2 linked regions of the Drosophila melanogaster genome follow. The gene in region 2 interacts genetically with the main gene of each other region. Each region holds a gene or a part of one and is shown on either strand. Other genes may lie near its edges. The genes, in order: Him and Mef2.

Evidence for each region.
Region 1: of Mef2 (region 2) and Him, changing one suppresses a phenotype caused by changing the other (phenotypic suppression), as found in Drosophila melanogaster (one study listed by BioGRID).

The regions. Positions count from the first base shown.
Region 1 is NC_004354.4:18,207,560-18,211,319, reverse strand, and holds Him (holes in muscle), read right to left. Parts: upstream 1,894-3,760; 5' UTR 1,787-1,893; coding exon 1,502-1,786; intron 1,107-1,501; coding exon 813-1,106; 3' UTR 579-812; downstream 1-578.
Region 2 is NT_033778.4:9,926,436-9,931,635, reverse strand, and holds the start of Mef2 (myocyte enhancer factor 2), read left to right. Parts: upstream 1-2,020; 5' UTR 2,021-2,736; intron 2,737-4,766; 5' UTR 4,767-5,149; intron 5,150-5,200. UniProt on the Drosophila melanogaster protein: Transcription factor that could be a key player in early mesoderm differentiation and may be required for subsequent cell fate specifications within the somatic and visceral/heart mesodermal layers.

The sequences.
Region 1 (3,760 bases), on a different chromosome or scaffold from region 2:
CTAGTTTAATGTGTGAGTAAATCAATATTTTCCGATCTACATCCTAGTCGTTACAAAAGCTAACAATTAACATACTTGCTTGGATATTGACGAATATCCTTGCATGTGGCAGCTACTCAAAGGTGAATCATCACAATGAATGAACGTAGATCCTTTTGTTTTCGTTTTCCAGAGCTCAGCTCAAAGCCAAGAAAGAAATTAATGTTTAGGAAATTAGAAGATTGAATTGAAAAAAAAATGAAGAAAATTATATATGAAATATGAAATGTGAAACGTCAGGCAACTTGAGGCATTTAGGACACCAAAAACCCGGAAATCAGAACAGGCATCACGAAGGCGAACTAAGAATATCCATAAATAGAGTCAGAACAGTGTGAACGAAGGCAGATGGAGTTTAACGAATAAACCATTCAATGCAATGCATAACTAACCATAAACAGCATTCAAATACCCGATACGAATAAACAATTTTAATTGGTGTCAAAGTTCATTGAATAAAAATCTTTAGAAACGCATCTGCAGACTTTCATTTCGAATTGCTGAGGGTAAATGGAAAACAGAAGTGGTGGTATTATTTTCAAAAAAAATCTTTATTACTTAACTATTTATTAACAGGAAAAAAAATAAAGTCGGTTTGCAGAGGCGTGGGAAAATGGAAGAGCAGCGCGATCATCACACAGCAGCAGGAATAATACCGAATGCGTCCTTAAAGCTAACCCTTAGACTAGTCTCAGTTCCCGGATTTCTCTCTCTCTCTCTTTCTAACTTTCTAGCTATCTCCCTCTTTTTCTCCTTGTTTTGGGGGAATCCGGCTACCAAGGTCGCCACACCACCATTCGCTGCTGCACCAGCTCCGCCAACTGGCGCTGCCTCTGCCGCTTTCTCTCGAAGATCTGGTGGCGAATCTTCAGCAGGATGCTATCACGTGGCGCCTGCCCAGTTGCTCCGTGGGATTTGGCGGGCGAGGATTGCTGCAGCTGCTCTATGAACTCGAGGTCCATCTCGTGCGGCGGCGCTGCAAAGTGCTCCTTCTCCGGCATCTGCTCCTGATCGTTATCCTGATCGATGGCCAGATTGCATTGGTACTGCAGCTTGAAACGCTGACGCTGATGGCGAAATTTTGGAAAAAATATTCAATTAGATAATAAGTTTTTCTTACTTATGCTAATTAACATGATTTTCTATCAAAATAATTTTAACTATGCTTTTGTTTAACTTTTGAATGAAAATGCTTTTCAAGTGAAGTCTAAGTTCTACAGTCTTAAATTGAAATTGTGATTTGCTTAAATGTGTAATATAGTTTAATGTTTTTGTTCTTTGGTTTAAAAGGTTTAATAAATTGAATCCTCTTCAATCGAAGTGAAAAATATAATGAAAGATGGAAAAGAACATAACTCGCAAAGCTTTAAACAAGCCTGTATACTATACAGCTGTTATTTGTTATATAATTTTTTTTTTTTAATCATATCCACAAATTAGTTGTTGGATTTGCCGCACTCACCTTTTTTCGCGCCGCATTCTCGGCTAGAAATCTGCACAGCTGCTGTAATTGCTGCTCGGCCAGCTCCTCCTTATCCTTGTCGATGTGATTCTGGACCTGGTTCTGATCCTGATCCGGCTGCTGGTCCCGCTCCCGATCCCGATCCCGCTCCTCCACCATGTGATCCTCAAGGCGGCGCTGCTGCTGGCGCTGCTTGATGGCCGCCTGCACCTTGCACCTGGTGGCCGAGCTCAGGCTGAGATCCATGCTGCGTTGCTGCTTCAGTATCTTGTAGATGACGCCCATCGAGGTTGGTGGCTCTGCGGCTCTGCTCTGCTGTGGGTCCTGCGATATCTCCGATCTATATATTCCCGATATGCGAGCGCGTCGAGCTGCGGCGGAAGACTGTTTCGAACCACTCGTCCACCGAGTCTCTTTATATGTGCTCTCTGCGGGTTTGTTTTGGAGATCGACTCTTTGTGGGATTAAAAATAAAACATAACTCGTGGGCCCATGTGTTACTGGCTGTGTTTTTTTTTTTTTTTTTTCTTTTGTTCGTTTGCTGGTGCGGCACATTGCGCGCCAAACTCGAAACTCCCGCTTTATGGGACATTGCTCAAGTGGAGTCAATTCTATTTTCTGCTCTCATTACAATGCCTTTTAGCAGCCCAACACAGAACACATGTGGCAGCACCAGCGCCGCACAATCGCCCCAAAAATAGACCCTCTCATACAGCTGCAACACTTTCGCTGCTGCACCGACCGCTGCCACATGCAACATCCAGCGGCATCGCCAGCGGCGCATGTGGCCGTCGCGCAGTCAAAGTCCCATTTCCATCTTCATTTCCATATCCATTCCGAAATCCGAAATCCGGGTCCTGCTCCTTCTGCTCCGTCATACATCCATTCCCAAATCTCGAACCGAATTTTTCCCGTGGCAGTCTGCTGCGAGAAACCGCATGTTTCGGCGCCTGTTTTGCGGATTGACAGGGTAGCAGGGGTATACTATACTCATTAGAAAGCATGGCATGATGTTAGATATTTAGAATGGGGATCTTTTTATAATATCTCTTGAATATCAATTTTGAAAATTAATATTTTCGAGTATATACTTAAAAATGTTCTACATTTTTTGGAACTTAAATATTGGTATCATATCATAAGTTTCTATGGTTAAGTATTTTTGTAATATAAATTATAAAATGGGCTTTTATTTCTTTAGTGCTATAAAAATATTTAATATAATGGAATATTATACGGTTACAATTTTCTACTTAATAATACTGCATCTAAAAACTACTCGAGTACAGGGTACTCTGCGATCGGGAAACTCTGCGAATGCATCATCGTGTCGAGCGTCATAATCGTAGTGCCGCAAGATGGGATCCAATCGGATTGGATTGGATCGGATCGGATCGGCGACGGGATGCATATTATAAATAGCGCCTGGGAAAAAACACTTTGCAGCGGCTACTCATCTGTGTGTGCGTGTGTGTGTGTGCGTGTCTGTGTCACGGCATGCACTTGAACTCTGCATTCACATGTTCTGTGTGCGCAATGCAACCCACTCGCTACCTCTCCCTCAGGCAGCACAGCGCTCTCGCTCGCACCACGGTGCTCGTACCACCGCATGCCTAACGTTCCTGCTCCTGGCCCTTTATGTACATACATACATATATACATGTGTATATCAACGTATATTATTGTGGGTCTCTCTGCTATTTTATTTGGACTTCAAGATGTTTCAGAGTGCACTTCAAGTGCGTTACAATTTGCGTCTATTTTTGGCCGCTTGGGAATATCTCGGGGAATATACATATCTGTTTTTTTTTTTTTTGGAGGGGGGAAGAGGGAGTGGAGCGTACAAAATGCTCAGATAACGGGCATTTTTATAATGTAAATCATTGCCGACAAACCCCATCCACATCGGTGCAAGATGCAAGATGGGCCATAATTAAACATTTTTAATGAGCGACTTTATAGGCGTTTCGGCCCATCGTCCACGGAATTAGAATCCCCCGATGGGGAAAGGCAATGCCTGATTGTCGCACTGATAAGAGAGCACAGTGGGGCCACATCAAAAAAGAACCAACCAACAAAAAAGAGGTAATAATACAGGTACTTTGTGTAACAAAATTAATTTACTAAAATTATTATTTATTTCTTATTATAGGGATATATAAGATGTATTTTTATATCCATTTTATATTTTTTGTTAACTACTTTGTAGATTATATAAACACATAGAGCTAAATATTATTTTATTTATATTATTTATTT
Region 2 (5,200 bases):
ATCGTTTGCTGCTGGGTTCGGTTCTCAAAATGCAACATTGTGGCGCCGCCGAGAGGCGAGGGCCATAAAACGGGTAACTTGGTCGCGCTGCACTTGGTATCGGTTATGCGTGATTTTTACAGAATCCATTCACTCGACGGGGCGGAGCAATATCTGCGGCATCTGGCATTCGCATATTACTCGGAAAGTCACGTTAAAGTTGCGTCCACTTAACTGCAACTGCAATATGGGCATTCCTTAAGATTTCACCTCCCTTAATGTCCTTTTGTCTGTGTTTTAACTATCACTCCAGTTATTAAATCGCAACTTACAGTAAACAAGAAAATCTTTTAATATATTTTCTTATTGATTTAAATGCCATATGGTAATGGCTAATCACTAAAATTCTCGCTATTGGAAATATTTTTATTATGTATAAATAGACGCAAAATCATTTCCTATATGGGTTAGAACTATAGATGGCTGGAAAGTAGCCACAGCTTTTATTTGCCTCCCAGATGTGGACTAATCACATACAACGTTCCCAATTTTCCTGCTTTTATAAAAGTCGATTTTTGTAATAAACTCTATTGGGATCAAGTTGGGGTACATGTATCCCTACTTTATTATCTTTTCGCCTACATAACCTGCATAATAGAGCGTGTTTAAGGTAAATAATATCTCGCTTAACGCAACAATAGACAGGGTCTGGGTCACAGGGCTTTGGATCCCACTTGGCTGGCTGGCGGTCCGATTCACAAATTAAGCCCCAACTTCAGCCATACAACTACTTTACCTCTGTCTGAATAGGCAATCATCAATCGAGCAGAAACAATGAATCGTTGGTTGCCGCACACCCTAGGATCCTACGGGTCCTACTCTTTGTCCCTTCCGATTCCTTCCTGTTTGTTTTGTGTACCCGCCAGCAGACGAATTACAGGATATGTTGTATGTTGTATCGCACAAAATTAGGTAACAAATGAAAAAAGGATTTACGCTTTATTTTTTCTGAATCAAGTTCAACATTCTAGTTTACGTTCACATCGGAGCTAAGAAGCTAAACAGCTGTCACAATTCCAAAGTTAATATAACCTATTAAAAATGAAATTAATTTTAATGATAGTTATATCATACTTCGCGTTTCTAAAAGGCGTAACCACAGCCAGTAAGTATGCCCCATCTTTTGTAACAGGGTATCGAGTATATACTTACCTTTTTTTCTACTGCCAAACGCAGGTCAACAAAGTTTTTATTAAGCTGCGTCGAAGGGGAAAACTAATGGTGGGTGGGTGTTTATAGAGAGGATCCAGTGGCAAGGACAAATAAATAAAATACACACAAAAAAAAAACCAGATAGTGGGCAAAGCGGGAGGGGAGAGGTCCTGGCAGGGCAGGGAGATACGGATACAAAGGAAAACGGAAACCAAAGCGATGTTTAGCAGGGGTGTAGTTAATGGGGGTGGTGAAGTGGGGGATAATTAACATTTATGGGAGGTTGCCAGAGCGGGACAACAAGCTCGGCGAGGGAACTAACTGTAACTGTTGCTGATTGATCAAGTGTGTGGGTGAGTGTGCGTGTGTGTGTGTCTGGCTGGGGCACAAACAAAAACCATATGTTTCTCGTTCGACTCCCGCACGCACTCACTCACAAACCGAATTACTCACTCACCCCCACCAGCCCCACACTCTAACCCCCCGCCACCTCTCGCTCACTCTTGCTTTCGTTGTGAGTAGGAACTCAAAGTCAGCGGCTGCGCACTCTCTCCGTCTCTCCCGCTCTCCGATTGCCCGGCAATGTATGTGTGCGATATTCTGTTACACAAAAAGGCAAAAACAAAAGGCACCGTTAGAAGGTGTGCGCGTGTGAGTGAGTTCACCACGAAACGAAAATCCTCACCGCCAGCCTACGTATACGTGTTCGTTGCTGGCTGTGCGTGTGTGTGTTAGTGTGCGACTGCGAGAGAGCCTGGCGCAGTGCAGCTGTGTGCGGGCGTATCTGTGTGTGCGTACTTGGCGTTACGACGTCAACGACGGCATATCCGTCAGTACGTTTGTACGCGTCCGCAGCGCCGCTTCTTCAGTTTTTCGGTTTTCGGGATTTCGAGATTTTGAGATTTCGATTCGATTCGATTTCGGCAGATCAGTTTGCGATCCGTTTGCGAGTTCGATATTTTCATTCCGAGCCAACGATCCAACGATCCGATTCCGCTAGCGATTCACAACAGATAGAGATCCTATATCGAACGCCGCGAGAAATTATGCTGGCCCGCTGCTCTCGCACTACGCGCAATAATTTATTTTTACTCCATATAAACAAATTCAACGTCTATTTCCAAAAATAAATGGCAACAATAATAAAAATAACAACAGCCGTCGGACAATTATAAGTTTTTATTTTTAACTTTTATTTGCGCCAACCGCGGCCGCGACATCCCCGCCCCCGCCTGCCCGGACTTTGTTTATATTTACAAAAAGCTAAAGCACACGACAAACACAACAGCAAACATATCACTGACTGCATTTCGCCCCGATGTTTATCGAACGAGCGGCGTAAACAAAGCCAGAATTCAAACAATAATTCAATTTGCATCTCAATTGCAAAGATTTTCGTGTGTGTGCTCGGAAACATTTGTGCAAACACCTCGCCAGCGACCTGACATCCCCAGAAAAGTTCAAAACTCGTCGGTTTCTATTGAGTAGTGTATTTTTGAGAACATTTTTTCGAGAAAACGGAAGCTCAGCTAAAAAGCGATTCATGTAAGTTTATCTACTGCAATGAGGAATGTTTTTGGTTTGAAAACTAGTTTTTAAAACCAAAGTACCTTTGCGAAATGGGTAGAAAGATTTTCATTCTTGTATTAAGAATAATTTTTCCTGTTTGTGATAACCATTTGACTTATATTTATGAGCGTCATAAAATCCAATTGAATGCCTCATTACATTATAAGTGATTTTCGGTTAGTCATACTTTTGAGACACATTGTTAAATTAATTATAAATTATGAATTATAAAACCTAATTTTGGTTATCATATCCACCTTTGCTCATTGAGCTATTATTCCGCCCAAAGGCTTAGTAATTATTTACAGATCATCGATGGGCTGTAAACCCCTCCTTTCATATGCCGATAGGGCAATTTGATTATATATAATTTACAATTACAAAAACACTGGCAGCCGGCATGTCGGGAACCAAATAAGCAAGTTACCCATGCACACTGACGTCATCGCTGAGCCAAACGTTGGGATTCCGAAGAAAAAAAAAAGAGATATCGGCCGGGTTTTCGAATTGTGCCTCGCTGTCTTGATTCCAGTTCAAACAGTTCCCTTTCAATTGATATCATTCGATGTTTCAATTTCTTTTCTTGCGATTTAATGCTGAGAGTAGCTGCCATACACTCGGACGGGCGAACACGCACACACAAATACTATATACGTTCCACTGATAAGCGATTTTCGTATCAATATTGAGGGCCCGCGAGAACCGTACTCCTCCGGCGAAGTTCAAATCCATTTCCCTGCTATCAAGTTCTTTTGCATGTAGTTTTTATGGCCGACCGACCGACCAACCGACTAACTGACTGATTGACTGGCTGGCTGGCTGGCTGGCTGATTGGCGAATTTGCTGATAATTGTCTGCACTTTGTTTCAGCCAGCAGCAAATGCACAGAGAATTATATTTTCTCTTATCTCGCCTCAGGCAGCTGGACATGCGTGCAATGCACTTTGACACCTACGCAGGATCATAAGGGGGGTCGCGTGGGAAGGGAGTAGGGGAATTTCGTTTCGATCCAGGGAGCAGTGGGTTCAAATAACAAACAAAGCCATTCGAAGGCGATAATCACCGCAGATTTGCCGTGGACTTAGCCACGGCGATCGCCGATAAACGATTACGGTCATTCGGCATTGCAGAGCCTAGATAACGGGACCCCACCTCCGATCACGTTCACGTTCGGACCATCATCACGACCATCATTAACCTCCGAGATCTTTAACACTATTTGGTGTAGTCACGTTTGGGTCGCGTTTGTATTTTAAGTGTTCCATCAATAGAGAAATTATAATATTATTTATTTATTTTCTTTTTTGTATTTTAAGTGTTCCATCAATAGAGAAATTATAATATTATTTATTTATTTTCTTTATTATTTCATTATTATTTATCTCATTCTATAACAATTTAGTTATTTCCAATACCTAAAGCTTCATAAGTTAAGCGAAAAAATAAATGTTTTAACTGTTTTTTTTTTTTGGATGCCTTTCAATTAGTTTTGAAATTCAAAAATGACACACGATTCTGAAAAACTGCAAGTAAAATAAAGAATACAATCCATGAAGGAAAACCCACAAACGACATCTTATCAGGTCAAAATAATTTGTTGGCAAATTTTCAACGAAAAATAGTTGAGTTACGTTTGTTGTTGGCGTTTTCGGTGCTTGATAAAAAATTCGAAATCAAAATTTGTTTTATTTGCTCGTGTTTTTTTTTTTTTGCGGCCACTATCTGCCATCGAGAGCGAGAGTCTTTCTTATCACACGTGCGCATGTGAAGGTGCCCACGCTCACTGACAAGCCAAATGAAGCACAATCTGGTCGATGTGTTGGTGTAGTTATTAAAAAAATAAATGTTCCTTTGCCATTTGCCGTGTTTGCGGCTCTCGAGTGTCTGTGATAATTATGGTTATTGCCGCCGCGCTCCCCCACATATATTGTATATAAAAATAAAAATAATAATAATTATTATTATTATAACGATTTCTTTCTGTTTGCGCCTGTGTTTTGGTTTAGCTCCCTCCCCCACACTCCGCCCGCTTTTGCGGCTGTGTAGGTGCTGGCGATAAGATAGAAGTGCTCTAGGTGTACTTCTAGGTGACTCGGGGCCCGAGAACTCAAATTTGTTCGACTACCTTAACATGAGACGCGTGTTTCGGGGCGAAAAACAAAAACCTTGGATTCTTTTGCTTTTGCTGGCATTTCTGCAATCGAAATTGTTGATAAACGCGGTGCAGGAAGAGAGCCAGATATCGCGGAGCCAATGCGATTGCTTGCAAAAATATTGGAAATCGAAGTTTGCCGATATTTCACTTGCTTCAAACAGGCACATTTTATCTCAAAAGCATTTATCATTTGCCTTTAGCATTTACCACGAGCGTCGTATTCACAAAGTGTGTGTAAGTTGTGGATAATATTTTATAATATATAAATAATATACTAAAAATAGA